Coturnix japonica: one gene and its partners. The main gene of each other region encodes a partner of the protein of the gene in region 7 in a complex. Links are inferred from orthologs where the notes say so. Each region holds a gene or a part of one and is shown on either strand. Other genes may lie near its edges. The genes, in order: CTNNBL1, RBMX2, CWC22, SNIP1, BUD13, CWC15 and PLRG1.

Region 1 (3,500 bases), on a different chromosome or scaffold from region 7:
CGCCATTTAAGGTCTCTTTAGGAAGCGAACACATCCCTGCTGACACTGCTGTACAATCTGTACTTTCTCTAAGCAGCTCGGCAGGCATGATAAAACCATTACTAAAGTTTCACAATGCAAGTCACTGTCTGTGAAAGAAGGAATTGGATGAAGTGTTTGTGCAGCTGCATGTGAACCAACAGGCACAGTGGGGAACACGAGGTGGGCTGGCACATAAGGTGCAGGTAAGGCTCTCAAGTACCCATGGCCTAAGTCATGTATGGAAGTAGAAATGCACCATGTTCTAAGGTGCAAACGGGCGTTTGGAGGCAGGAATCATCAAATATTGCTTGAACTTTCTGGGGAGGGATAAGGGCCAAAGAGTTTACCTGCAGCTCCAGGTAATCTCATGCTGTCAAAAAATCACTCTTTTTTTATACCTGCTATGGTTGCTATTCCCAAAGAAAGCAGAGACACTGAAACAACACAGCCCCAAGCCCAGAGCCCCAAGGATGCTGACAACTTTCCCTTCTCTTCATGAGAGAAATCCTCCTCTCTAAGACCTGCACAGCCTCCTTGAGAGGTGCTCCCAGGGGTGATGGATCAGTGCTGGCAGCTCAGGCTGGGCTGCACTGAGAGCCCCAAGCCCCGTCCCTTCCCCTTCAGTCTAACTGCTGCTTCTGTTGAAGGACAGCAGGCGACAGGTGAGAGACACAGCTCAAATAAGCGCTACTCTAATTCAACATAAGCATTCAAAGTAACAAGCAGTACTTTAGAATCAGGACTGCAAATCACAACAGCTACATTTTAATGCTACAGAGGATACTTTAATGCTGTAATCCATATTAATCTGACACTAAGAACAAGACAAATACACCACGGATACCAATACTGTGCAGATGGTAAAGAGCAGGGCCATGTTAATAAAAGATGCGACTCCACTATTCTTTCCTCTAGCATGCACACACACTTCCCTTAAATATTTACTCTAGTATTCTAGTGTGGGCCAGTCAGTCTGCAGCTGACAGCAGCATGAAGTGCTGTAGCGTGACGTGACAGCAGACAACAGCAAGCATCCTAACTCCAAGGCAATGCTTGCTTCTTATCAGGGATTCCAGCCCTGGTCAGACCTCACAAGGTAACTGCTGCTCAGAGATGCTGCTGAAGTCAGGGAGAATGACGTGTGAAGGTTCATCCTACAAAGTGATGACCAAACTGTCCCTGGTACAGAATGAAACACGCACAGGAATATCTCAACTCACCCTTCAGGATGTGTCGAACAATTTTAATGGAGCTGCCTCTCATGTTCAGAATCTGATGGACCCTCTGACGAATCTGATCAGGGAAGAGAAGGAAGGAATCTTCAGCAGAACATAAAGCCATGCACAACCCCACTTTTTCTGCTCTTTCTGAGTGGAAACCACAAGAACCACAAAACCCAGTTCTGCCCTGCTAGCCCACAGTCCCAGAGCACTTAAAGCATTAAGGAAGGTACATGGCACACATACAAGCAACCACAAAATACAGTCACAAACCCCAACACACACACGCCAGAAAATGATGCAGTATTTCACAGAGGTGAGGAAAAGCCCCATCTGCAATCTGTGTCTGAGAAGGCTTCCAAGAGAGACCCCCTTTCAGCACTCCCAGCAGTGATATAAACAGGGCCTTCCAATTTCTAGCTGTGACCTTGCTCTCGGCAGTCTGCATGAACTCAGTGATGACCATCAGCTCCTGTACCTACCACTGCCCTCCTAACTGCTGTAACTTCATGAAGCTGCATGGACACAAGGCAACAAGCAGGATTCCTCCCCAAAAGAAGGAATTAAGACAAGACTAAGAGGCAATATTTGCAAGGATAGCCTTGCTTGTATCATACAATATTTTTTGTTAACATATCATGCAACCATCGCAATATTTGCAAGGATTAGTCTTGTTTGTATCACAGATGGAAGCACGGTGATGCACTAGCTCTGTATATAGCTTTACCTGGGGGACATTGGCATTACAGATTTCTGCCATGATGTAGGAAATGAGCTGTAGAACAAAGAGACCAGCATCCAGGCGGCGGAGATAGAATTCGTCTTCCATGTCATCATCTATTATCTCTCCTCGGCGCACCATGTCCTGGAAAGCAGTGCAGAAAAAAGGGGTCAAGGCTGTCTCAGAGACCTTCCCATTACACGTGGTGAAATGCTGGCGATAGCTGCAGTTTCTTAGGAAGTGCTCTGTTCTCCCCACACATTAACACCCATACATTTCTTAGCAAAGAAGTACTTCTTTTGATAATATATTTAAATCCACAGAACATTTCACTCAGTGTTGAGCACGGCTTTGCCCCTGCTGGTGTGAAGGGTGTCCATCCACAAACTAACACCTTAATTTCAGCACAGAAGTTACGTTTCTAAACCAAGCGATCAGAGGCTGTGAATAGGAAACAAACCAGTTCTTTGTCGAGGTGGAACAAAACCTGTGCTCTTTTGCTGGCCATCTGAGGGAGCTGTTCAGCAGTGCAGAACACGACTCCAGCAGCTTAAAGCCCTGCCGGCCTCTGAACTTCATCACTCACTGCTGAATAAGAAACCAGGTCTTGACTCCTGCACAAGTGCAGTTTCAGTACTCGCAGCCATTCTCTTCCAAAGCCATTGGCTGGGCAGAGCAATGGGGCTGAGGCTCCATCTGCAACCAGCAGAAGAGCTCTGCTTCCATGGCACGGTTCTTCCTTTCTCTGCATACAGGGTGCTTTGCTAAGAGGCTCACACAGAGCCCAAAGGCAGAATGCAGGAGGCTGCTCCATTCTCCTGGCTCAGAACGTTTGCTGCCTCACAACAGCAGCAAAACAACCCAGCAACGAGCCCTGAGCAGCCCCCTGCAGAGAGGGGCCCATCCACGTCACAGGGTGAGCCCACCCTGACTTTTCTCAGCAACCAACAGTGCAATCACTGATGGCACACGTGACCTTTTGCATTTCGGGGCTTTGTTTTTTGTTTTTGCCTTTAGATAAAGGAAGCAGCTTGTCACACCCTGCGAGCTCGCTGCAGCCCGCGTGATTTATTATGCAGCAGGCTGGCAGGTGGGCACGCACAAGCAGAGCAATATTTTCTCATTAGAGCCATCACCGGTGAGAGCACTGTACCTGGAACGCTCACAGAGCGCTTCCTTCACGCACACATGCTCCAGGCAAACACACTCACAAGGTCACCAGCACCAAAGCTGATTGCAGCCACCAGATCTTCTTGTTTCGTCAAACCAAACCCCTTGGTGTAATCACAGAGAGAGTCTTTCAGGCACAAGAAGAAGATTAACCCTACATACTGGACAGCACAGTGAGCACTCACCATACACTGATCTGATTCAGTGACTTCGAGCTGTTTACTGCTGCCTCCCAAAATTGAAAACAGAAAGCACAGGTGATGAAATGCTTTCCTCCCATTCCTCCTAAGGAACCCAGTTTGTCAATGAGAGAATGACTTAAGTTTACGAAACAGTGTCTAGTTAGCAGTGTTGTAAAGCCAACTGCA
Region 2 (4,173 bases), about 17 Mb from region 7:
ACCCGCCGGTACCCGCCGATACCCGCCGATACCCGCCGGTACCCGCCGGTACCCGCCGATACCCGCCGGTACCCGCCGGTACCCGCCGCAGCTCACCGAACTCGGCCACGATGGAGGCGAGCCCGCCGTACACGAAGGGTTTCCAGTTCAGCGCGGACATGGCATGGCGGGGCGCGCCGCCGCGCCGGGCCGGACACTGCCTCAACTCCACCCGGAACCGGAAGCGCGGCGGAACGGGAAGCACTGCGCCCCCCAGCCGGGCGGACCCGGCAGCTCGGCCCGCAATTGGGATCCAGCGGCACCGCCCGAGAACGGCGGGGAGGAGACGGGAGAGCGCTGCAGGCACGGGACCGACCGGAACCACCCCGAGAGCAAAGCGCAGCTCAGATCCACTGCTGTGCGCTCCCCATTTCTGTGTCAGCTGCCATCAATGCTCAGTCCAAACAGCACAACCGGACACAAGCAGTGCTCCCAGTCATCTCCTCTGGTTAAAGGATCGATTTTTATTAAAAGGAGTTTAAAACAAAAAACGCCATGAACTGCGATGGCTCAGCAGCCTCTGATATCCATCACATAAACAAAGGAAGCAGGACGGGCTGGGGGCACAAAGCACCGTGCCCGCCTGCAAGCACCCACCGCCCCACTGCAGACAGGGACGCTCCCCCTGAACAACGTGGGCAGTTTCGGTGTCCGTATCCTGCTGCTCAGCACCCCACTGCCCACACTGTGCCGTGAGCCCCTCCACAACCGTCTGAGTGATGCCACTGCACAGAAGGGCCGAGCAAGGCAGCAGCAGAGCCCACATCACAGCCCACAGCACTGAGAGCAACCTGTCTGAGGAGTGAACCGGTCAGAGTGGTGTGTGTGAGACGAGACACAGCTGTGGTACCCTTAGGGCCATAGCAGGAGGCTTCAGACAGGCTCCCGGTGCAGCTCACAGAGCACAGCTGTGGCCCAGAAGGTGCTCACTCCAGGGCTCAGTGACGGCTGGAATCTCTGGTGGATCCACGCTCCCTGTGCTTGGAATGGGGCTCTCTGCTGCTGCTCTCCCGCCGGTGCCTGGATCTGCTTCCCTCAGAACACTCTTCTCGCCAGCTGCTGTGTCCCTCACCCTTCCTGCTGACCTCTCCTCTCTCTTCCCGTGAGCTGTTCTGCCCTCTGTGTTCCTGGGAGCTCTTTTCCCCTCTCCTCCCCGACGACCTTTGGTGTCTCTGCTCTTCCTCATCTCGCTGCGTCCTGCTCACGTGTTTCCTCTCAGACTCACTGCAGGACTGCTGACCCCCACCAGCAGCATATCGCTCGTAGCCAGGATCTTCCTTCTCCTTTTTAATCTTGATTCTCGGATGTGCCTCTTCGGCAGGTGCTGCTCTCTTTGCAGCCTGAGAGCTCTGCTTTTGCCGTTCATGTTTATTCTTCTCTTTATCTGAAACAAAAAGGTCATCCTTAGAGATGGACAGTCCTGCAAGCATCATCCCCACCAGTTCTGCTACAGAGCACCAGAGCTCTGTAGAGAAAGGCTTTATTGGAGCCTTTCTTCTCCCTGTCCCCCACTGTCCTGCCCCCTCCCCCTTGCAACATCCCTGCAGCCCAGCCCAACTCCTTTTCTCCAGGAAGAGTGCCACTATAACCTGCAAAATAAGGATCTCCAGAGGCAGGGGGTGAATGATCATAGATAAATACTGGCAGTGTGACGCAGATCACAGAGGATAAGCCTGGACATTCGGGTTGCATCTGTTTTCAAGAGGATCCCTATCCCTGCTGTACGCTGAGCTAAGAGTCCCTGTAGCCCACACAGATCCTCCCACCCAGGGCAAAGATGGGCAGAAATGCATTTCACCTTTTTGCTTTTGGGCTGGCGTGTCTTCATCCTCCAAGGAGGAATCTGACGACGTATGAGGTGGTGTTTTCACTCCGCAGCCCTTTGCATGGAGGGCTTTTGTGACATCATCTAAATCATCGGAGTCCTTGGGAGTCCGGTAGTTGGCCACGTGGTCCACTCGGATCGTCCTGCCTTTGATCTAGGACAGGAGTCAGGTAGTCAGCAAAGCGTGTGCTGTGGGGCCAGCAGCCGATGGAGCTTCTCTCTGATGTGCTCTGAGCGCTCCAGGAGCTGCTGCAGCCACACAGCTCCATCACTCACCTTGATCCCATTGAAGTTATCAACAGCAAGCACGGTGCTCCTCTGATCCTCATAGCACAAAAAGCAAAACCCTTTGGACTTCCCAGTCTTCTTATCCCGCACCAGATTAATGTTCACCACCTCCCCGTACCTGGAACACACCATCAGCAGCCACAGAGCAGGGCTGGAGGGGCACAGCAAGATGGGGATGGAGCAGGTAGGAACTTACTGCGAGAACACACAGATGACGTCCCCCTCTGTCAGCTGGTAGGGCAGCCCGCCTGCGGGGGGAGACAGGGCAGCGATGGAGGCCCAGCACGGAGCCCAGCACGGAGCCCAGCATGGAGCCCAGCACGGAGCCCAGCACAGGGCCTACCACAGCCCTGCTCTCTCCTCCCTCCCCGTCCCCCCATCGCGGCCTACACGTACCGATGAAGACCCACGCGCTGTCCTTGTACTCGGCGTGCCACGACACCGCCTCGCTCACGCCCAGCTCCGCCTCCCGCGCGTTCAGCTCGTTGATCAGCTTCACTTTGGTCAGCGGGCTGGGGGCGATGCACTCCGTTAGCACCGTTAGCACCGGCCGGTCGCACACCCCCCCCTCACCCAGCCCCCATCCAAACCTACTTCATGGCGGCGGCGGCGCGCACTGCGCATGCGCCCCCCTTACCCCCCCGCCTCCGCCCCCGCCCCGGCCGCGCATGCGCGCCAAGCAAAGCAACGAGTCCGAGGGCTCCGCACAGCTTTATTGGTCGGCGCTCAGCACGGACACGCGCTTTTACCGTGGGCGTCACGTGACGGCTCTAGCTTCTGCGCCCGGCCCGGCCGCTTCTCCATGTCGCGATAGAGCAGCGACTTCTGCGCCTTGAGCCGGCAGGCCAGGCACATGAAGATGGACTCCACGTTCTGGCTCTCTTTAGGGTCCTTGGCCGAGGTTTCGAACAACAGCATGTTGTGAGCGTCGGCGAATTTGAGAGCCATGCCGGACGGCACCTGGATCAGGTCCTTCAAGTCACACTTGTTCCCCACCAGCACTTTGGGGACCAGGGGGGACACGGCGTGAACGTTGCACTCCTCGATCCACATCTTGAGGTTGGTGAAGGACGCCATCTTGGTGACGTCGTACACGAAGACCACGGCGTGCACGTTGCGGTAGTAGTGCTCCACCATGCTCTTCCGGAACCGCTCCTGCCCGGCCGTGTCCCACACCTGCACCTATGGGGCACAACACGGCGTGAGCAGCCATTGCTGCTGCAGGATGCTGTGCTGCTGCTCTGCTCATTGCTGTGCTACAGGGGTGAAAGGCCCCAGCCCGGTGACTTACCTGCCCCATGTTGGTGTACCCAGCCATCATCCCTGTCAAACTGCACACAGCACTGCTCGTGTCAGAACAGACTAACACACCAACCCACCTAATGCTGTGCTGTATGAGGACACTGAAATGATGCTCTGTATCCACAAAGGAGGCAGGGCAAAGAGAGCGGCGTTCCTGCATGGAGCTCTGTCTGGGGGAGGAACCAGGCAAACAATAAGGATTAAAGAGCCGAGAGCCATGGAGACAGGGCAGTGTGCAGCTCCAGCCTGATCAGGGAGAGTAAATGGAAGGTGCCCTCTGCAGACAGATGGGAGTCTCATGTTTGCAGGCTTAGGCCCTTCTGGAGGCCTTCAGCCATTCCAGTGTATGCTGGAGGGGCAACACAGCACAGCTTAAAGCGTGAGATTCCAACTTCAAAACTCAAGTGATAGAAGAGCCAGCGAGGGAAGCTGCTACGCTGGGCCAGCTTCAGCAGGGCAGCTGTGAAGGTAAAGCCAACTCATTAACCAAGAGGTGGCTCTGAAAGAGTCCTGTGGGTCAAGGACCTATAGGAAAATGGGACCAAAGAAAGCTACCCAATACTGATGTGCCTCCACCTCTGAGCTGCCCATGTGAACAAAGAGGAAGTCAAGCAAAAATACCAAGAGGTACAAAGAGGAAGTACAGGGAAGGTGGAAGGTGAGACAAGTGACTTGAGAGGAGTACAGACACAATGTCAGAGCACACGGGGAGGTGGTTT
Region 3 (3,500 bases), on a different chromosome or scaffold from region 7:
CAGTAGGCCTTTCAAGAAGCAAGGTGAGCATTTCCAAACACAGAACCTCGTGAGCCTTTAGAAAGAATATCAGTAAAGAACTAGAATTTACAACATTTCTTTGAGGATGTCACAATAGTTGTTTAATCAGACAATGAAGGCAATACACAGGAAAAAAACTAATTAAGAGGTAGTCAACATTTTACTCATAATTTAGCTATTTATATTTACACCATCTTCACAGTCAACATGACTATACTTCTGAAGTGTGGCTACATTCTAATAAACATCTTAGTGAAAAAACAAACAGAATTCATTTATACAGATCAAATAAAATAATTCTTAGCTAACCAAAACTAGTTTTAGCAGTGCACAATCTTTCAAAATAACTTCAAGAAGTAATGTTTCAAACTGAGTTATTTTATACATCTGGGATAGAAATCCTGGTAATTCTAACACAGAAGATGGTGGATTAGGGAAAGATACAGATTTGATTCAAATGCAACTGAGTCTGATCCTGCCTACAGACTTAATGATCTTTGTACGAGATTACAGTGCTGCAAGAAAACTCCACTTAGCACCTGTGGGAATTCACTTGCTTGCTAACAGAAGCTATCAGAATACTATCCCAAACATATACAGTTTTGGGAAGCTCTGAGTTGTTAAATACACTGGCAAGAGATGATAACTTCACAGCTACATTACCAGACAAAATCTCTTATAAAAACTCCCAACAACTTACAGCAAGCACTAACAGGAAATATTAACTCAGCTTTCCCATAACTTACAGAAAAGGGGAAGTTTATATAGAGCTACCCCTATCTTGAAGCTAAAATAAGTAGAAATCCATATAAAGTATGAGCAAGTGAAAAGAAAGTAACATACCACATTCTGATTCATCAAATGTGCAACAAACTTCGAAGATGTTAGACAGAGTTGCTGCAAAAGAAATAAATAACGGGAAACTGTAACATCTTACACGGAAGAAAAACCCGTAACTGAGACATTCTATACTACAGCCAAATTGAGTCATGAAAATAACTATTTTGGTGTATTAGTAATTATGCTACCATTAGGACTGCATACTTTCAAGTAAAATATAAAAAGAACATCACATTTCCAAGCTGAAATCAGTAGCCAAGCTTTCACGATGTGCAAATACTACTTTATTTAATGTACTAATGTTAGGTGAAGCAGAATGATACAACACAAACCAGAGGTCTTGGCAGTGTTACTTTGAAATACCTAACCTGGATACACTCAGTACAAGATTAAAACAGAAGAATTACAAGTTTTAGCATGTTGTTTCTTCACACTTCTTACATACCTTATCATTTCTGCGATATCCTTTGCGAAAATTTAGTATCAACCTCTTGAGAATCAATTCACCAATATTTGGAAACTTTGAATTAATAATTGCCACAAGAGCCGCATACACATGGGTAAAAATTGGAGAGGCACCCTGAGCTTGCAGAATGGATCTAGACAGCAATCCCCTGCAAATATACATAAGTTTAAGAATACAGTTTTTCGTATAATAACTTAACGTTGTCATCCATTATGTATCACAAAATAAGATTGCATAGTTTGAATAGTTATAAAGATGCTATACAGTCATTTTCAAATAGTTATTCACTGAACAACAAATGGAGTTTTACAGAATGAGCTGCCTAAATGTGCCCAAGTTTAGAAATCCTTAAACTGATACCTTCTCTTTCATCAGATATTATCTCTATTAAAACTGTATTTTGAAGCAATAAGCATTTATTTTGTATCCTGCAATTACCCCATATTTTTAAAAATTCAGAGCTTTGAAGTTTGTATGACTGTTGTTTTTTTTCTGCACACGGTTGAAAAAAATCTTATCTGTGAGAGAAAAAACAACTGTCCTGCAGTTCTTTATAAACAACAAAGAACTACAATCCAGTAGAATGAACTACCCAAAGAAGCAAAACTAAATTCTAAGAAATAGAAATTTTATTCTCATAAAAGCTCCCTAAAAATAAAAACATACCTAGGTATGATAAAAGCATAATAAGTAAAGCAATGTTTTTTTCAGTGCTTCATTCAGAATAACATTCACCCTAACTATGGTTTGGAACACAACTTATTTTTAAAAGACCACTTTTCGGAGTCTAAATGAAGAGAAGCAAAGGGCTCATGAGATAATAACAGTTACACTGAGAGAGTTGAAAAGTCCGGGAACACAGAAAGAAATAGACAGGCACACTTAAATTTCAAGTCATTCAAGTAAAATCAGTAGATATAGATAAAATAAAAAGAAAACATACTATCTGCTCAACTGACTTATTCTTTCAAGCATGTACTCCCTCCTCTACCACTCTGCTCCCAGCCCCTTTCCTCAAGCAGGGAGCCCCTATGCATAGGAAAATATAGCTAGCCTAAGATAAACTTCAAGGTCAGATTAGTAACCATATACTAAACATGCAGTGATGCAGGAATGAACAATATACATATTAACATAAAAAAAAGTTAGCTCAAATATTTTAACATTTACCTTCCTCGAACAATATTCTCCTGAAGCAGCTCATGAATAATGTTTTCTATATTAGAAACGTTTACTTTATTGACAAGACCATTGATGGACTTCTTCAAGGCTTCCCAACTCATCCTCTGATACGCCAAGCTATTACAAAGGCATCACAAATTAGTAAAGAATAAATTTGTGGCAGCAAAGTTATAAATACAAAAATGTGAAGATACGATATACTAAATAAAATAACTAAGAAAATATTCACTGTATAAACATGAAGACTAGCTCACAATTATACATCAAATGACTACAAACCCACCAAACCAACATGACATGCCAAAATGTAGTTCCCCATATGTGTTATAACCCACAACTTTTGTTTCTCCAGGGCATTAGGAAAAGAAATCCCATTTATCCTCTGTATCCTGCTCTTCTATTAAGAGCTGAAGTGGACAGGATCATAATCTGATTTGTTATTTTTGTTGTTGTCTGTTTGGCTAGCATTTTGCTTTACTCAGACAGGTAGAGAAGGAAGAAGACAAGAAAAATGGCTCATTTTTTTTTCCTGATTAAAAGATACCTCAAAAAGTGTCCCATTTATAACAACACTCCTTAAAACCCTTTATAGTTTTGTTTTTTAGGATGAATTCTAATGCTACCTTCAACTCACCTATTTTTATCAGTTATTTGTTCTTGCATCATCCTGAGCTTGGCGGGTGGAATATATGCACCACCTGTGCGAGTAAGGATTGGATCCACTTCTTCTTTCTTCTTCTTCGAAGTGGCCTCTTCATGAGTATTTGAGCCCTGAACTGTTGACCTCTCTGGACTCCTATGATCAGGGGAAGAGTGTCTTCTCTTCCTCCTTCGATCATAATCTCTTTCCTCCCACTTTTCATAGTATCTGTCTCTCCCTCTTTCCATCCTTCTATAAAGTTAAAAAACAAACAAAAAAAAAAAGATGTTTTCATCTTTTGTTTTTAAAATGAGTACCTTCAAATGAATTGAAAAACAGGTGTCTGTATTC
Region 4 (4,256 bases), on a different chromosome or scaffold from region 7:
ACATCTCCATCCCAATGCATGTTTTATTGTAAAAGATTCCTCTCCCCTGCTCCCCCATCCCCAATTGCCTTCATGTCTGTTAACTATCGGACTCTTCCTCCTTCTCCTCTTCCTCATCATCGTCCTTTGCGTTGGCCTCTGATTTATCAGATGATTCATGGAGAAGGACGTACTCCCTGCTGCTGAAGCCAAACTTCAATACATCCTTTTCTTTCAGTTCGTAGTAACGTTGAGGCTCAATCCTCTGGTTGTTTAGAAAAGTACCATTGCCAGAACCAAGATCAATGATATACGGCTTTACCCTGCGGCCAACTGTGCCATCAGCGCGTGTGTGCTCCACAAGCCTAGAAAACAAAAACAACCCATCAAGTCAATGATAACACATGGATTTTTCAACACATCAGCCCCACTGTTGTAAATACTTAACCATACTTCAAAGATCTGAGCAAGTACAATGAGAATAATTAGACAGGGCACGGAAATACTCAAGATTCTGACAGACTGCTTCACCCCTTAAAGTTATGATCATATAACATAGTAAATCCTGAAGCAGAACAGATGGTTGTTCCTTAAGAGAGCAGCTCTGCCTCCTGAAGCACACAACCCTGCTGTTTATAAAGGAGATCGGCAGCCTTTGTTGGGAAGGAACAAATGAAAAACCCTCCTTTAAACGTTCTTTATTGCCAATCCCACCTGCTAATAACTCCAATTCAGATATACAGGCAGTTCTGTATTTCATCCTGTTGTGTTGTGTTTCTTACTAAAAGTCTAGATATGGTTAAACCAAAAGGAATTATATATATGTTAAGAGTCACGAGGCTGCTTATGGTTAAACAAAAAGGAATTACATATATGTTACATCCATACCTAAATTCCACCTATCTAAAACCATTGAGCAAACATGCATTTTCTAATCTGTGCACATCCAATACGTTCTTTGATTCCCTTTGCACGCAAGCGACCAAATAATCCCCACCTACCAGAGGGATACAGAGCGATACTGACCGGTATTGGAACACAGCGTGTTGCTTTGAGCAGGAGGGATGATCAATGGGGATATCTGCTATCCTGCGGTGCCTGCCCAGGAGATAAGCACTCTGCCTATGAATGTACATGACAGGCAGGAACTCATCGTTTTTAAATGGATAGAGACGCCATCGTTTCTTTGGAATCCGAGCTTCTGGGGGCTCACTGTATTTAATCACAACGCCTCGGAAAGTGTTGGTATCCTCCAGAAGGGCACCAGACAGTTCAAAGCTTGGTTTTTCTTTGTTTACAGCTTTATCTTTTGGTTTGTTATCAGATTGTTTGTGTTCTGGATTCTGCTCAGCACCGCTCCCCTCGTTGTTCTGTCGATGCTCTCGTCTTCTTTCGTTATAGAACTCCCTCTCTGCTTGTTGCTCACGGATGTTCTGAACATCTCTTTCTCTCTCATGGCCTCGACCTCCAGGTCTTTCCTCCTTTTTCCTCCTGTCTGAGTGATCTCTGTGCCTGTCTCTGTCACCGCTTCTATCTCGTCTGTGTTCTTGCTCTGACGTGTGTCTCTGCTTTCTCTCTTCATTTCCTCTGTGAGGATGATCGTCTCGTTCCTGAGGAAGAAGACAGAAAACACATGAAAAACACAGACTGTAACATGGTACGTGTATATCTAGATTTATTTATTTCCTTCCAAAGTGAATTCCCACAACTTGGGCCCAACAATGCAAGGCTGACAGAGAGCAATGCATCATAACATCAGCCTTCAGGGTCAGCCTGCAGGCTGGGCTCACTTAAAGGCACAAATACTCATTTTCTTACAGGAATAACAGGGGCTGGGCTCACTAAAAGGTACAAACACTCAGTTCTTTCCAGGAAAACACGAAGCAGAGAGCAAGGAGATGTTACACTGTAAGACTCTCTCTTCCTTAAGAGTTATTCTAGAGGGATCAGGGGGCTGGAGCACCTCCCCTATGAGGACAGGCTGAGGGAGTTGGGTTTGTTCAGCCTAGAGAAGAGAAGGTTGCGGGGTGACCTCATTGCAGCCTTTCAATACCTGAAGGGAACTTACTCCCAGGAGGGGAGTAAACTCTTGGAAAGGGCTGACAATAGCAGGACACGGGGAAATGGTTTTAAGTTAAAAGAGGGAAGATTTGGGTTGGATGTTAGGGGGAAGTTCTTCACTAGGAGAGTGGTTAGGCCCTGAAACAGGCTGCACAGGGAGGTTGTGGATGCCCCGTCCTTGGAGGTGTTCAAGGCCAGGTTGGACGGGGCCATGGGCAACATGATCTATGGGGTGTCTTTGGGGATCTATGGGTTGTCTGTGGGGCTCTATGGGGTCTGCATGGGGTCTGTATGGGGTTCAGTGGGTCTCTATGGGGCTCTATGGGGTGTCTATGGGATCTCTGTGGGGATCTGTGGGGTCTCTATGGGGATCTGTGGGGCCTGGCCTCTCCCAACGCCATTTACCTGCTTTACCCTCACACCTCCATGGTGCGGACTCCTGCTCCTCCTCCCCCGCGGTGATTTGCTCCTCCGGCCGGATTTACTCTTCCTTTTAGGCGACCTTTAAATCAAGTACACAAGAAATGCACAGAACCTCAGGGTTACGATACAGGGCCGTAATAAGGCCCTATGAGGCCTCCTACCTGCTGCTCCTGCCCCGTCGCTCCTCAATGGGGGGGGATTGGCTCCCATAAGCCGAACGGGACCCGCAGCTCCGTGGGCTGCGCTTCTCGGCCTTCACCGCCATCTCCCCCCTCCTTCTCTCCCTCCTCCTCCTCTCACTCTCAGCCTCCATCTTGCTACCGACTCCCCCCACAACCGGAATTACGTTTTCACATCCGTGTTACCTCTCTCTCAACCACCCGGAACTACATCTTTACCTAACGCTCATGCGCCTTTAGAACAAACAACGGAGCGGCGTTTATAACCATAGCGACCGAGGAGCCGCCATGATCCCACCGCCCGATTCGCTGCTGCGTTATAACCCGCCCATGCTGGTGAGTCGCCGTACTGAGAAGCGATCACCAGAGGTGAGTGAATATGAACCGATATTATGGCCCATGAAGGCCAAAGGAATCCTATATTGTATCAAAACCAGTGTTACTAGCAGCAACAGGGAGGTAATTGTCCCCCTGTGTTCAGTTTTGGGCACCTCACTGCAAGAAAGACATTGAGAATACATTCAGAAAAGGGTTATGAAGCTGGTGAGGGGTCTGGAGCATAATGGGGACTTATAAGAAGAAGCTGAGGGAGATGGGGTTGTTCAGCCTGAAGAAGAGGCTCAGGGGAGACCTTATAGCCCTCTATAACTCCCTTAGTTAGAAGTTAGAAGGGAGGTTGTAGTGAGCCTCTAATCCATGATAGAAGTAGAGGGAATGGTTTTAAGCTGTGTCAGGGGAGAGTCACGCTGGATATTAGGAAGTATTGCTTCTCAGGAAGGGTAGTCAGGCATTATAATGCACTGCCCAAAGAGGTGGTGGAGTCACTGACCATGGGAGTGTTCAAGAAACATCTGGATGTTGTGTTGATGAATATGATTTAGCTGGGAAGTATTGGGAATGGTTGGACTAGATGATCTTCTAGGTCACAGAATGACCCGGGTTGGAAGGGACCTCAAGGATCATGTAGTTCCAACCCCCCTGCCAAGCAGGGCCACCAAACATACACATTTACTAGATCAGGTTGCCCAGGAGACCCCATAGAGACCCCATAGATCCCCCATAGATCCCCATAGATCCCCATAGAGACCCCATAGATCCTCATAGAGACCCCATAGACCCCCATAGAGACCCCATAGATCCCCATAGAGACCCCATAGATCAGGTTGCCCATGGCCCCGTCCAACCTGGCCTTGTACACCTCCAAGGACGGGGCATCCACAACCTCCCTGGGCAGCCTGTTCCAGGGCCTCACCACTCTCCTAGTGAAGTCTTTTCCAACCTTGATAATTCTGTGTTTCTGTGATTCTGAATGGGACGGGGGGAGCCCTCACACCTCACCCATCCTGCTCACACCGCTTTCTCCCTTCAGGCCTCACCGTTGAAGGGAACCCCACAGGCCTCCCCGCCATCAGGCCCTGTCCCTCCGTCCCGACCTCGCACTGCTGCCGCCTCCGCCGCCTCCACGAAGGAACCTCAGGAGATCCTGAACGCCATCCTACCGCCGCGGTGAGCCGGGGAGGGGGGAACAACAAGAGCCTTAACTCAGGACCGCCCCGCCGAGCTCCATCGCTGCTGCTTTCCGGTGCAGGTCATGGGAGGAGGATAACCGGCTGT
Region 5 (3,595 bases), on a different chromosome or scaffold from region 7:
GCTTCACTTCATCTGGATGCTCATCAATAAACTGCCACCTGAAGCTCAGATAACAGACCAAACAAACAGCTTAAGACAATAAAGAAAGAGATCCATGCTCTCTAAACAAAAGGGTCCGGTGGAGCAGCTTGGGAGCTTCTTCTTGCAGCGGTGGCGTTCAGTTGTGAGGTACAGTGGTGACACTCATTGGTAGAGCATCTCAGGCTCACAACCTTCCGATGCTGTTGCTATGTAACCCTTCCATACAATGTCTGTTACCAACCCGTTGTTTTTAGTTAGAAATGCTTTCTTGCAATCAGGGATGGAGCGCAGCGCTCTGCTTGGCCTCCAGCTGCAAGCTGGACAAATCTAATCACAAGAGAGAGGTTATGCTTCGTGCTGAAGCGAGCCCCCAGGCAGCAGCGCTAAGAGCCATCAGCAAGGCTGTCCAGAGAGAAAGCTGTAGGGACTAATCCATGACCATTAGCTACTCTGAAGAAAATAATGGCCAAGGGAAACAGTTTAAATGGCCTCTGCGTGTTTATTGCCACAAGAAATTGACCCCCAAGGAGCTGCTGGAGCTTCTGAAGACTTTGCTGTCAAATATAACATGGCGTGTTGTTCATTCAGCCATTTCTAGTAGAGAACTAGAGTTATATGTACAGCAAGCAGCTTCTTGCCACATACTGACCCACCTGGCACAGCTCCCATAAGGGCTACAGGAAGCTCTGCTGTGCTAACTTCACTGCAAGCCAAAGACTCCAGGAACCAGAAGGGTTAAGAGTTACACAACATTGAACAAGCAGAAGCTCTCTGGGCTCATTAGCAAGGACATGGAGAACATGGGGCAGACATAACATGAGCCCACAGGTAAATCAGCTCACAGTATTAAGTTGTTTCAGAGCAAAAAACACCCTCTGGAAGAACTCAGCCATAGCTGAAACCACAACCGTGTGCTGCAATAGGCCAACACACCAGATAGGATTAACCCTCCATGACTTAAATCCCAGCATGCTTCCACCATGAAATAAACCTGAGATTTAGGACATCTGAAGACCTGTCAACTGCCTTCAGAGGACAAAGCATTTGGCATAGAACATTTCAACACAGTTTCTACAGTTTATTAGTAAAGAAATAAGTGGGTCAGACACCAGTGTCTGCAGCACCTCATGAAGGAACACCAGGGAGCAGAAGTGTTCCTCTGTGGGCAGCAGCCACTCCAGTTTTTGGCACTGGTCCTTTCTGGCTGGCAGGAAAATCCTTTTCCAGCAGCTCTCCTCTAAACACAGCCTTGCTTCCAAGAAGACAATCCACTGGGATACTGAATGCCAAGAACAGTGCTTGGTCCAGGCAGAGGAGCCGTTACTTTTGGCTCTGGCAGTGGTAGCAGGCAGATCTCAATTCAGTCGTGCTGTTTCACATGGTTATTTCTTCTATCTACATGTCTTCAATGCTCCACTTGTATGCCAGCTCCTGAACTGCCTTCTTATTGGCCATCCTGGCAAAGAACTGCTGCTCAAATCCGTTGGACCTACAAAATAACACCAACAAGACCATGGGCTACCGTGCACATCTACTAAAGCCACAAAGCTTTTAAATGACATCACATGTTTGCCACTACTTTTGCATCAACACCTCCAGCTGAGTTTCCACTCTGAGCTGTGGCAAACAGCAGGCAGTGCCACAACAGATCAGAACAGAACCTGGCTCCCTTTTGTCCCAGACAAGCATGTCCCTACCAGCCATTCATAACCATGAGAAGTGTTAAGGTTGAATAAGTTGCATCTCACTCACTGTAAGCTCTCTGAGGCAAAAGCTCATTTAGTTTTACTACCATTCAATGACATCAGTGTATCAGGAATACCTACCTGTCCACCCCATCCCAGCGATACCCAGGCCATATATTAAATCTGTTGAGAGGAGGTGCTGGTCCACTGTACCTAGGTTTCTCTAGAGACAAAAACAGCAATACAGACATTGGTTACTACAATGCAATCTTCAGGACTCAGCTGCCACAGCAACCTCACACTGTTCACTGAACAGCAGCTGCATTTCTATGCTCCTTGGGCATTAAAACCTGCACCAGCACAGCTTTCCATACCTTTCTTCTCCTTGTTCTCTTTGGCTTTTCTTTTTTTGATGAACTCAGCCATGGGGTCTCCTTCTCTCTCTTGTTCTCTCAGCATTCGATCCAGATCTTCATCGTCAATGTAACGGGCCAATGGTTTCTGCATTTCTTTTATTGCATCTTCCACATTCTGCTGCTGCTGCCTTTCCTGTGCTAATCTAAAAACACATACAAAGTACCACCTCAAAACTAAGGAATAATTTACTGCCATCTGCTCAAATTGTAGTATTGATCAGAATCTACTGTGTGTAGCATCCCTGAGAAGCACCCAGCAACAGACAGGGTAATCCCACACAAAATAACCTGGTCCCAGGCACAAAACTCATTGCCAACCCCCAGTCTGCAACCTGTAAAGTGACATGTCACCAAGACACCTTACCCCTTTCCCCATCTGGCATATTGCTCATCATGCAACAACTTTGCTTCATCTTTCTGCTTCTGCTCAAGACGTTCCTGCACAAGGTCCCTCTTGCGGCCTGACTTGTCGCGGAAGATGGTTTCCGTGTGTCGGGATTCCTCTAGGGATAACAGATATCCTGAGTCACTCACGTGGGAATATTTCAGTTTCCAAACCACTCCATAGCTCATGCAATGAGCTATAGGTGTAACAGCCTGCTCCTTCAGATCAGGAATAGCAGATGGGGCAGATGAGACACAAAAGCCTCACAATTGTCTCATTGGCACCTCTTTGAAATCACCACTCATAAATTTCTATTTTAGAGACCCAGTGGCTTTTACCTGTGTATATTCATCAGCATGCCTGGATGCCAGCCAACACAGACACTCTCCATCAACACCCTTACTACCAGCATTTTAAGACATGCCCTGATACAGCATTAACAGGCAGCCAAAAGCAGACTAAAAGCTGATGTCTGTGCACTGGTTTCAGACTTTTACCTTCCAAGTGCTTGCTACTTCTCTCCTGCTTCCTGAGCTCCTGCTGCTCTTTCCGCAGCACGTCAGCTGACACCAAACCAGCTTTGACCCCAGACATCATCTTGGCCTGCAAATCAAACAAGAATCACATTTACTGCTGGCTGAGAGCTGCCCAGTGACTCACAGGTATGATAAGGGGAAGTTACACGAGAGGCAGCTCTGTTACAAAGCCACTTTGCTGCCATCTTTGCAAACAGCTTCCACAGACTTCCAGAAATACAGAGTGCTCATGCAGAGCTCATCTTCCATCTACCTCACACGTGGTCTTATGGCAAACTGACAGTGTGGCACAGCTGCATTTACAAGCTATATATCTGCTCTACCATCTGTAAGCCATCACACTGTTAATGATTGCTATCAGAGGAAGCAATCTTCAGCACAGACGGAAAGACAAACCCCTTACCTTCTTGGGAGATCCCTTCTCATCTGGGTAGCGATGATCTGAGAGATTGGAGGGACTCCTTGAACCACGCTGACCCTTTCCAGAAGGCAGAGCCCTTTGAGGATGAGAGAAATTGGAGCATGAAGACTTGCTCTAAACACATTTAAGAG
Region 6 (4,110 bases), on a different chromosome or scaffold from region 7:
AATAACAACATGCAGCAATTCCTTTCACCTTGCTGTGAACTCAGGTTTGGAAATAAGAGTGTCTGAAAGAAACCCAGGCTCCAGTCATTAGAAATACACTGCGTGCACAAGCTGTCTTTATGCTGAAGCATTTCATTTGCTTTTACAATTAAAAACTTGAATTCAGAATCCCTGACATGGCTGCAAAAATCCCCCCCAGGCCTTTTGTCAAAGAGGCACGGGAGAGTGGGACTGAAATACCAAATCTTTCTTGCAATTATGCAGCCCTTGGCAAATTAGCAAAGACAACTTTGTATTTGATATTTGGGAGAATGAACTTAAGATGCTTAATGCCCCTTCACACACACATACACACTCACTCAAAGGGATTCGTTACCACACACACATCGTATATTCCTGTATGTATTTCTTCCCACACACTCATTTCAGAACAACAGACTGGTGCTCCACACTCCCGCTCTGTTTAAAGAGACAGACCACCAGCCACTTTTCCCTTAATAGCACATTTTGTGCTGTTGCTTTTGGTGATCTCTGAACATCCCACCTCCCGTATCCATGTTACCTTCAAAGTTATTCAAATGGGTGGAAGGGAAGCAGTGAAAGGGTAAATATCTGCACTAAGAAAGCAAAACCCAAGCAACAGTTTAAGCTAGAAAAAAAGACTATTTTCAGGCTGACACAACTCAGTTAAATCCTGTGGCATGTTGACTCCAGATTTCATGCTATCTTAAAAGAACATAAATTATTAAGCATTCCAAACACAGGATAGTATTCATATAAAATCCCATTATCTTTCACACCAGTTAAAGCAACAGGCTCTTCTAGAACCCTTCTAGTGTTTAACATCAGCTCTTCCAATACTTACTAATGCCTGAGTGCTGTTACACATTGCCCTGCCTCTTCTTAGTGCTCTTCCCCAGGTTCTTTGCCAATATATGACATACTCAACTTCATACCTCCTATCCCATCTTGTAAGTCACACCACCTTTCTAGCTCAGCTGTCTCTGTATGTTCCCAATGCTTTTCTTTTCACTCCATTGCCTGAAATGCTTAATCTGTAAAGATTACCTTCTCCTGATTCCCTTCCACAAGCAGTTATTGACACCACTAAAACTAAACCTTCCAAATCAGTTGCAACCCACTCAATCTCCTAAGCCTGCTTCTGTGTCTGCTTAATGTCAAGCAAACAAATATCTAACGTGAAAGAAATTCAGAGTGTTGGTCACATCACAAAGAAAGAAAACAACAAAACAGCTCCAGGCTGCTTTGCTATAAGACAGACAATAACGATACTTACCTGTATTTGATTTTAGTATGAGAGGGAAGGTCTCTGCTGGAATACTGCTTGGATAGCTGACTTAAGTCTCCTTCACCTTTTCCTCTCCCTCCTCTTGCAGGCTCAAACGTTGGCCTCGCTGCTGTCGTCATTTTAGTTACTAGAGTCAAGGGCAAAAAACAGTCATTACTATAACTTAAAGTGAAAGCCATTCACCAGAAGCTACGTCATTCTTGGAACTGCTGCAGCAACAGCAAATCCCACTACACAATACAAATTATCAACTGGTGCATGAGCCTTAAAGCTTAAGAGCTTCTTTTACTGACAGCTTCTTTTCCAACATGCCTGAAAGATGATAGAGACTCAATCAAGAATGTGAGGTCATGTTTATAGAAGTGGATAAAATGCCAGGAGCCAGTCTCCTATCCTTATATCTTGGTAGAAGAGTAATTCTTTCCCCTCTGGAAAAAAACACAGGATCTAATAATGAAATCACAGAACTGTGGGGGTTGGAAGGGACCTCTAGAGATCATCGAGTCCAACCCCCCTGCCAAAGCAGGCTCCCTACACCACGTCGCACAGGTAGGCGTCCAGGCAGGTCCTGAATATCTCCAGAGAAGGAGACTCCACCACCTCCCTGGGCAGCCTGTTCCAGTGCTCCGTCACCCTCACTGTAAAGAAGTTCTTGTGCACATTCGTGCAGAACTTCCTATGCTGTACTTTCATCCCATTACCCCTAGTCCTGTCCCAACACACTACTGAAAAGAGACCAGCCTCACCACTATGGCTCCCATATAACTGATGCCAAGAAGTGCTCAGCACTGCACAAAGCAGCTGGAGGCCACGCAGACCCAAACCATAGAGCCAAAAGTTTAGGGCAGTCCACCAAGAAACAAACAAAACAAAAGAATCAAACCAACCAACCACCCTGGATGACCCATCAGTGCCATCTTCAGTCTGTTAAACGAAACTACACACATCCATAAGCACAGCCTAAGGACTTAAATAAGAGACATACAAAAGGTGGTGAGGCCCTGGCACAGCTGCCCATAGAGCTGTGTGCCCCATCCCTGCTCAAGGCCAGGTTGGATGAGCCCTGTGCAGCCTGAGCTGCTGGGGGCAACCAGGGGTTTGCTCCGATCAGGTTCCATCAGCGCAGCATTGGAGCAGCCCCGTCAGTGCCGCACAACGCCGGCTCGGCTGAGCCGCCTCCATCGGCGCTCTCCCAGGCCCGTCCAGGCCGCCCCACGGCCTCAACCTCCCTCCCGGTGTCCCCCCAGGCTGCCCACCACCCCAGGGCCGACCCTCCACATTCAGAAGCCCCGATTTAATCCCTTCAATCCCCCTTCTCTGACCTCGGGGTCTCCTCCCGCTGAGCAGCCGGGCCCTACGCCACCGCCATCATCCCGCCCTCTACCCACAAGGCGCCGCGCAGCCACCACAGAGCGGAGCGGCGGAAGGAGGAACTACCATAGAGATGGAAGGCGGAAAAACTTGTTACCTCAGTGCGGAATTGAGTCCGCCATGTTCGATAATGAAGTGGAAATAGACGCTGTTGGTGCCTGAGTGGCACCTGCTGTCCGCCCTGAGGTACAGCAGCACTGCGTGTGAGCTGTGCTTTAAAGTCGTGTATGACTGTGAGCAGTACACACACCCTGCTGTGCTGCCATAGAACCCTTGTGCTGCTGCTTTTCTGTGTGCTTACAGAGTCATCCCAGCTCCTCCCGGCTGCCTCCCACCCCGCTGGTTCTTTGGCTGTTTGTGCTCAGTCACAGCTCCTGCTCCACTGTCTGCCTTTGCTTCCTGATGGCTGCCAATGGCTTTGCAATGAGGAAGAGACCTTGTGACTATTCTCAACAGAGAAAAATCCACGAGTCAGCAAGAATTCCCTGCAAAAATAAGCACAGAACCTGAACTAGGCCCTTCCTAAGCACCCAGGAGAGGCTCACAGGGGAACGAGCCATCCCCCTGCAGCCCACAGGCACATCTCGCATCTCTCATACTGTGTCCAGGTGTGGAGCCCTCAGTACAAAAAAGACATGGAGATTTTGGAAAGGGTCGAGAGGAGGGAAACGAAGATGATCAGGGGACTGGAGCACCTCCCCTATGAGGACAGGCTGAGGGAGTTGGGCTTGTTCAGCCTGGAGAAGAGAAGGTTGTGGGGTGACCTCATTGCAGCCTTTCAATACCTGAAGGGAACTTACTCCCAGGACGGGAGTAAACTCTTCGAAAGGGCTGATAATAGCAGGACTAAGGGGGACATGTTTTAGAGATTAAAAAGAGGGAAAGATATTTTAGGCATCCTCAACGCGCACTCGCACTCTATCATACCAGGGGGAAGTTCTTCACTCAGGAGAGTGGTTAGGCCCTGGAACAGGCTGCCCAGGGAGGTTGTGGATGCCCCGTCCTTGGAGGTGTTCAAGACCAGGTTGGACAGGGCCCTGGGCAACCTGATCTAGTAAAGGTGTATGTTTGGTGGCCCTGCCAGGCAGGGGGTTGGAACTACATGATCCTTGAGGTCCCTTCCAACCCGGGTCATTCTGTGATTCTGTGATCTCCGTATGCAGACATGGAGGAGCCCACTGTGCAGCAGTGGAAGAGTCCTGGAGGCGGAGCAGCCCCAGGCCAGGGTGCAGCCTGTGGAGAGGAGCCTACAGTGGGGCAGGAGGGCTGGGGGAGCTGCTGCCCGTGGGGCTGTGCTGGAGCAGTTCCCCACCCACAACATGATGTCAGCTGAAAGGCACTCAGCAAGGGAGGGAGGAGGGTGCTGGGGGCATGGGTGGCACTGAGGAGCACACAGTTCTGCCGCTCTCTATCACAAGCTCGTCCCTGAG
Region 7 (3,965 bases):
TAATGACAGCCAAGAAAGAACACTGCATACACCAAGATGATATCTGACCAACTTAAAATCATATCACAGAATGGCTTAAGTTGGAGGGGATCTTAAAGGTCATCTAGTTCCAACCCCCCTGCCATGGGCAAGGTTGCAAACCATTAGATCAGGTTTTCAGGTATTTTATAAAGCTGAATATTCAAAGTACTTTGTTTTGACTTGTAGTTCTTGTAGATTATGCAAATGTTAATGAAGTAATAAAGCAGTACCTGGACTGAGAAGCAGGAAGAGATACTGCTAAGGACTGAGCTGCAGATTCACTCGGCATCCTCTGGATCTTAGTGTCTGCTGTCAGAGCCACACCTTAAAAAAAAAAAAACAAAATTAAATTAAAAAATTAAAAAAATAATTAAAAAAAAAATCTCAGTTTAACTCTGAAATACCTGATTTAAACACAGAATTTTACTTACCAGGCCCAGGTGGATATGGATGTGTGCCAGTTATCACATACTCCAGTTCTTCTCCTAAAGACCAACAAAATAACGCATTCAAACAAAACAGTACAACAGAGTAGGTGGTGCAAAGCATCCTCAATTTGACAACATCCTCAACCCTTATTAGCTCTCTAATACCCAAATATAGCACACACTAGCATTACCTTAAAACTTGCTTGTTTTACTAATGAATTAAGTCTCCTACTGTTTCCTTGTGAAAACAAAGAACAAACATGGTACTAGGAATAACAAACCTTCATTTCCGGAATACTGTTTATGTCCATATGGATCCCCAGTGGCTGGGCCTCCTTTCTCTCTCATGTTTTCTTTAAGAGTAGGCATGTGCAATACTGAGCCGTACTCAGTACGCAGCTTGACTGCCATCTTTACTTTGTGGCTGTTGGAAGAACAGAGCATAATCCTGATTAAATCCTGATTTTTGAACTGCTACTAAGTTTTGAAATATTTTAAAAAACAGGAAACCTTTCATACAGCTAACATTACAATCTTCATGCTTTTCAGTTCCCTTAACTGCTAATTGTACTGAACACCCAAACTCCTGATTTGGATAGGATTGTTCTCTATAACTTCCTGAAGGGAGGTTGTAGTGAGCTGGGGGTTGGCCTCTTCTTTCTTGTCATTAGTGATAGGACTAGATGAATGGTTTCAAACTGTGGCAGGGGATATTCAGGCTGGACATTAGGAACTACTACTTCTCAGAAAGGGTGGTCAGGCACTGGAATGGGCTGCCCAGGGAGGTGGTGGAGACACCGACCCTGCGGGTGTTCAAGGAACGACTGGATGTTGTGTTGGCTTAGCGGGAGCTAATAGTAATGTGAACGGTTGGACTAGATGATCTTTTAGGTCTTTTCCAACCTTGGTGATTCTATGATTCTATAGAACAATTGCTAACAAAGTAAAACTCAGCCACAGCACTCACCTTTCATCATCTAATGGTACAGGTTTGGCATTATCAGCTACAAACATATCATGGGTTCTCTTCAAAGATCTGAACACAAGTGTGTGCACAGAGTGCTTCTGGACTTCCTAAAATAAAGGAAAGCATATTTAAATAAATTTAGCCACGTTTAAATGAAAAACTGAAATCTGAAAAAGAAACTGAGTAGCAATTTCAGACTTGCATATGATACAACACTATTCCCATCAAACACTGCTCCTCTTAGAAACTACAGATTCAAGTATATCTATTAGTTGTTTTAATTCAATGCCTGCTCAAAGTAAAACCCAGTTTCTCAGAAATGACAAGCCAGAAAAAATTTGCACTATCATCTAAAAATACATGAATACGTTTATCTTCCATGTTTTCTAGATGCTTTTATACCTAAACAATAAAGTACCTGATTCTGAAAACATTCCTTTATTGCACTACCTCCATAAAAATGAACATCAGTTTCTGCACAGTGTCACCCTATGTAAGAACAGTGATGTTTACTATAAGAAGTAATCCTGGGATCAAATAAGACAAAGCCTCTTGTCCTTTTGAAATTACACATTACTAAAAGCTAATAATTGTTAATATCTCAGTCAGGGCCAAAATAGTAGAACTTAAAGCTATTAGCTTATATAGAATATTTGTTTAGGACCGCGCAATTCAGGTTTTAATTCCTACCTTCCTCTCAAGGCACAATAAATAAATAATTAGAGATGTGATAATCAGAGTATGAGCCTCTTTGTGCTCGCTCTGTATGTCACAAATAGGAGCAACACAGAGTGGAAGCATTAAGAACTTCGGGCTCTAGTTACCATTCAGCTGCCCAGCCTCCACACTCCATTAAGCTGGGGCTTCCTCCACTAAGCTCTGCTTTCCTGCCCTGGACTCTGCTTACCCACTCATTGCCCCATTCTGCCACACTTCATACTCCCCTAACTCAGTAGGGCCCACACAAAACTTTTAGCTCAGGACGGTCCTGTAAAATCTAGATATCAAATAAAGAACATCTATAATAGGGCTTGGGAACTAGAAATTCCATGCAACTGCAAAAAGAAACAGGAATTACAGTAGCAAATGTCTGCTTGTCGCAATAAAAGCAATAGGTAACTCAATACCTCCACAACAGGAGGTGAACAACTATAGATATCTCTGGACAGTGATGACACCCAGTAAAAGAACTGTTACGTAGGAGAACTGCACAGCATCTTCTGTGCTCCTACCAACAACACTCAGTAACACAAGAACTGAACCGCCCTCACCTCCACCATGGCGCCGTCGCTCCCCGCTCCCCGCTCCCCACCGACAGCGATGGAGACACGTCCGGCTCCTGCTCTATACCTCATAGGAAGTGACGCAAATCGGGTGCGCCGGGCTGCATTGAGGAGCTTGCAACGCCAGGGTGCGGTGTTGCACTGGCGTTTTGTTCTTGGTTTGTTTTAATAATAATATGTTGGTTTGTTTTGTTTTGAACTTACAGTCTCGGCACTTTGCGTGCTGTCGTCTGCTGAGTGAATCGGGCTCGTTTTTAGTGCATCTTGAAAGGAAAACCTCCTTGAAATAGAGACCTTTGTAGCAATCCGAGAAAAGAAAGATCTGTGTTTTGTAAGAAAACTTCACTTACATGTGCTACTTATTACAGCATCCTTAGATTTTACAGAGGCCTGTAATTACACTCTTTTTTTAAAGACCCCCCCCCCCCCAAACGTTTACATCTAATTGAACATCTAATTCTACAGTAACCCTGTCACAGTGTGACATGTACAACGCCAGCGGCTTCCAAGGACGTTTCTAAATCAGCTGCCAACAACTGGATTCCTTTCAAAATCACATTTACTGGCACAGCTTATCAGTGGCCCAAGATGGCTCTATTCCCCCTTGGCCCAAATTACCTCTGTGATGTGTTCAGCCTAAAGGAGCCAACATACAAGGATGGGGTTTGTGTAAAGAGTGTTGCACCATGGGCAGATGATTTGGCAAAGCAAACACAAGAGGCGGCACATGAAAATTCATTCCTAAAAACACACACATACACCTCTGCCAGTAAGTAGCTCTCCAGGACAAAAGCAGTGTACAAAGAGATGTTCTGGAATACCATTTCGGAATGCTACAAAGAGATACCGGAATACCATCAGGTCAATGCTTTCTTTTCGCAGTTCTTCATAGCAGATTTGTTGCATTATCAACACTACGTGAGTTCAGGAAGAGTTTCTCATTAACCATGTGAGCTGGGGAGGAAGTGAAGAAAACACAACGAAGAAAGATGTTCTGTTTGGAGACAAAGCCTCCTTGACACCGTTTTAAGAAGAAGATTAAGCCATGTTCTTGGTTGTTCATAAGGCTTTATCCAGTCGTTATACAGTGTCAGCCTAGCTGTAACAGTTGCAAGCATCAAAGAAAAGTCCCATCTCACACCCAGCAAGCCAACTAATGGAGATTAGGTCCTGCTCCCCAAATATTTGTTATATTCATGTATGTTTTCCAATATACCTTGCTCCCCCTGCAGTTCCAGATTCTGACTCATGCTAGAAGCATTTCTC

Evidence for each region.
Region 1: PLRG1 (region 7) and CTNNBL1 share a complex: the UniProt entries of both Homo sapiens proteins name them as parts of the PRP19-CDC5L splicing complex. The link is inferred for Coturnix japonica from reciprocal best matches to the Homo sapiens genes PLRG1 and CTNNBL1.
Region 2: PLRG1 (region 7) and RBMX2 share a complex: the UniProt entries of both Homo sapiens proteins name them as parts of the minor spliceosome. The link is inferred for Coturnix japonica from reciprocal best matches to the Homo sapiens genes PLRG1 and RBMX2.
Region 3: PLRG1 (region 7) and CWC22 share a complex: the UniProt entries of both Homo sapiens proteins name them as parts of the minor spliceosome. The link is inferred for Coturnix japonica from reciprocal best matches to the Homo sapiens genes PLRG1 and CWC22.
Region 4: PLRG1 (region 7) and SNIP1 share a complex: the UniProt entries of both Homo sapiens proteins name them as parts of the minor spliceosome. The link is inferred for Coturnix japonica from reciprocal best matches to the Homo sapiens genes PLRG1 and SNIP1.
Region 5: PLRG1 (region 7) and BUD13 share a complex: the UniProt entries of both Homo sapiens proteins name them as parts of the minor spliceosome. The link is inferred for Coturnix japonica from reciprocal best matches to the Homo sapiens genes PLRG1 and BUD13.
Region 6: PLRG1 (region 7) and CWC15 share a complex: the UniProt entries of both Homo sapiens proteins name them as parts of the PRP19-CDC5L splicing complex. The link is inferred for Coturnix japonica from reciprocal best matches to the Homo sapiens genes PLRG1 and CWC15.

Annotation. Positions count from the first base shown.
Region 1 is NC_029535.1:8,632,946-8,636,445, reverse strand, and holds part of CTNNBL1 (beta-catenin-like protein 1), read right to left. Parts: intron 2,107-3,500; coding exon 1,969-2,106; intron 1,315-1,968; coding exon 1,242-1,314; intron 1-1,241. UniProt on the Homo sapiens protein: Component of the PRP19-CDC5L complex that forms an integral part of the spliceosome and is required for activating pre-mRNA splicing.
Region 2 is NC_029519.1:1,522,345-1,526,517, forward strand, and holds RBMX2 (RNA-binding motif protein, X-linked 2), read right to left. Parts: upstream 2,801-4,173; 5' UTR 2,752-2,800; coding exon 2,747-2,751; intron 2,665-2,746; coding exon 2,549-2,664; intron 2,401-2,548; coding exon 2,349-2,400; intron 2,271-2,348; coding exon 2,141-2,270; intron 2,019-2,140; coding exon 1,838-2,018; intron 1,424-1,837; coding exon 978-1,423; 3' UTR 470-977; downstream 1-469. Other genes in the region: SLC25A14 (brain mitochondrial carrier protein 1), read right to left, coding at 97-160; RAB33A (ras-related protein Rab-33A), read right to left, coding at 2,879-3,334. UniProt on the Homo sapiens protein: Involved in pre-mRNA splicing as component of the activated spliceosome. As a component of the minor spliceosome, involved in the splicing of U12-type introns in pre-mRNAs.
Region 3 is NC_029522.1:13,093,576-13,097,075, reverse strand, and holds part of CWC22 (pre-mRNA-splicing factor CWC22 homolog), read right to left. Parts: intron 3,402-3,500; coding exon 3,144-3,401; intron 2,627-3,143; coding exon 2,498-2,626; intron 1,476-2,497; coding exon 1,307-1,475; intron 919-1,306; coding exon 865-918; intron 56-864; coding exon 1-55. UniProt on the Homo sapiens protein: Required for pre-mRNA splicing as component of the spliceosome. As a component of the minor spliceosome, involved in the splicing of U12-type introns in pre-mRNAs. Promotes exon-junction complex (EJC) assembly.
Region 4 is NC_029538.1:3,338,362-3,342,617, reverse strand, and holds the start of SNIP1 (smad nuclear-interacting protein 1), read right to left. Parts: upstream 2,801-4,256; 5' UTR 2,777-2,800; coding exon 2,625-2,776; intron 2,543-2,624; coding exon 2,446-2,542; intron 1,590-2,445; coding exon 1,006-1,589; intron 345-1,005; coding exon 80-344; 3' UTR 1-79. Other genes in the region: DNALI1 (axonemal dynein light intermediate polypeptide 1), read left to right, coding at 2,931-3,011, 4,012-4,148, 4,231-4,256. UniProt on the Homo sapiens protein: Required for pre-mRNA splicing as component of the spliceosome. As a component of the minor spliceosome, involved in the splicing of U12-type introns in pre-mRNAs. Down-regulates NF-kappa-B signaling by competing with RELA for CREBBP/EP300 binding.
Region 5 is NC_029539.1:4,398,579-4,402,173, forward strand, and holds the end of BUD13 (BUD13 homolog), read right to left. Parts: intron 3,541-3,595; coding exon 3,447-3,540; intron 3,111-3,446; coding exon 3,005-3,110; intron 2,626-3,004; coding exon 2,487-2,625; intron 2,266-2,486; coding exon 2,081-2,265; intron 1,930-2,080; coding exon 1,848-1,929; intron 1,511-1,847; coding exon 1,417-1,510; 3' UTR 501-1,416; downstream 1-500. UniProt on the Homo sapiens protein: Involved in pre-mRNA splicing as component of the activated spliceosome. As a component of the minor spliceosome, involved in the splicing of U12-type introns in pre-mRNAs.
Region 6 is NC_029516.1:165,900,258-165,904,367, reverse strand, and holds the start of CWC15 (spliceosome-associated protein CWC15 homolog), read right to left. Parts: upstream 2,801-4,110; 5' UTR 2,778-2,800; intron 2,744-2,777; exon of another isoform or gene 2,632-2,743; intron 1,437-2,631; 5' UTR 1,429-1,436; coding exon 1,298-1,428; intron 1-1,297. UniProt on the Homo sapiens protein: Involved in pre-mRNA splicing as component of the spliceosome. Component of the PRP19-CDC5L complex that forms an integral part of the spliceosome and is required for activating pre-mRNA splicing.
Region 7 is NC_029519.1:18,056,570-18,060,534, forward strand, and holds the start of PLRG1 (pleiotropic regulator 1), read right to left. Parts: upstream 2,801-3,965; 5' UTR 2,772-2,800; coding exon 2,688-2,771; intron 1,524-2,687; coding exon 1,417-1,523; intron 874-1,416; coding exon 731-873; intron 507-730; coding exon 453-506; intron 346-452; coding exon 252-345; intron 1-251. UniProt on the Homo sapiens protein: Involved in pre-mRNA splicing as component of the spliceosome. Component of the PRP19-CDC5L complex that forms an integral part of the spliceosome and is required for activating pre-mRNA splicing.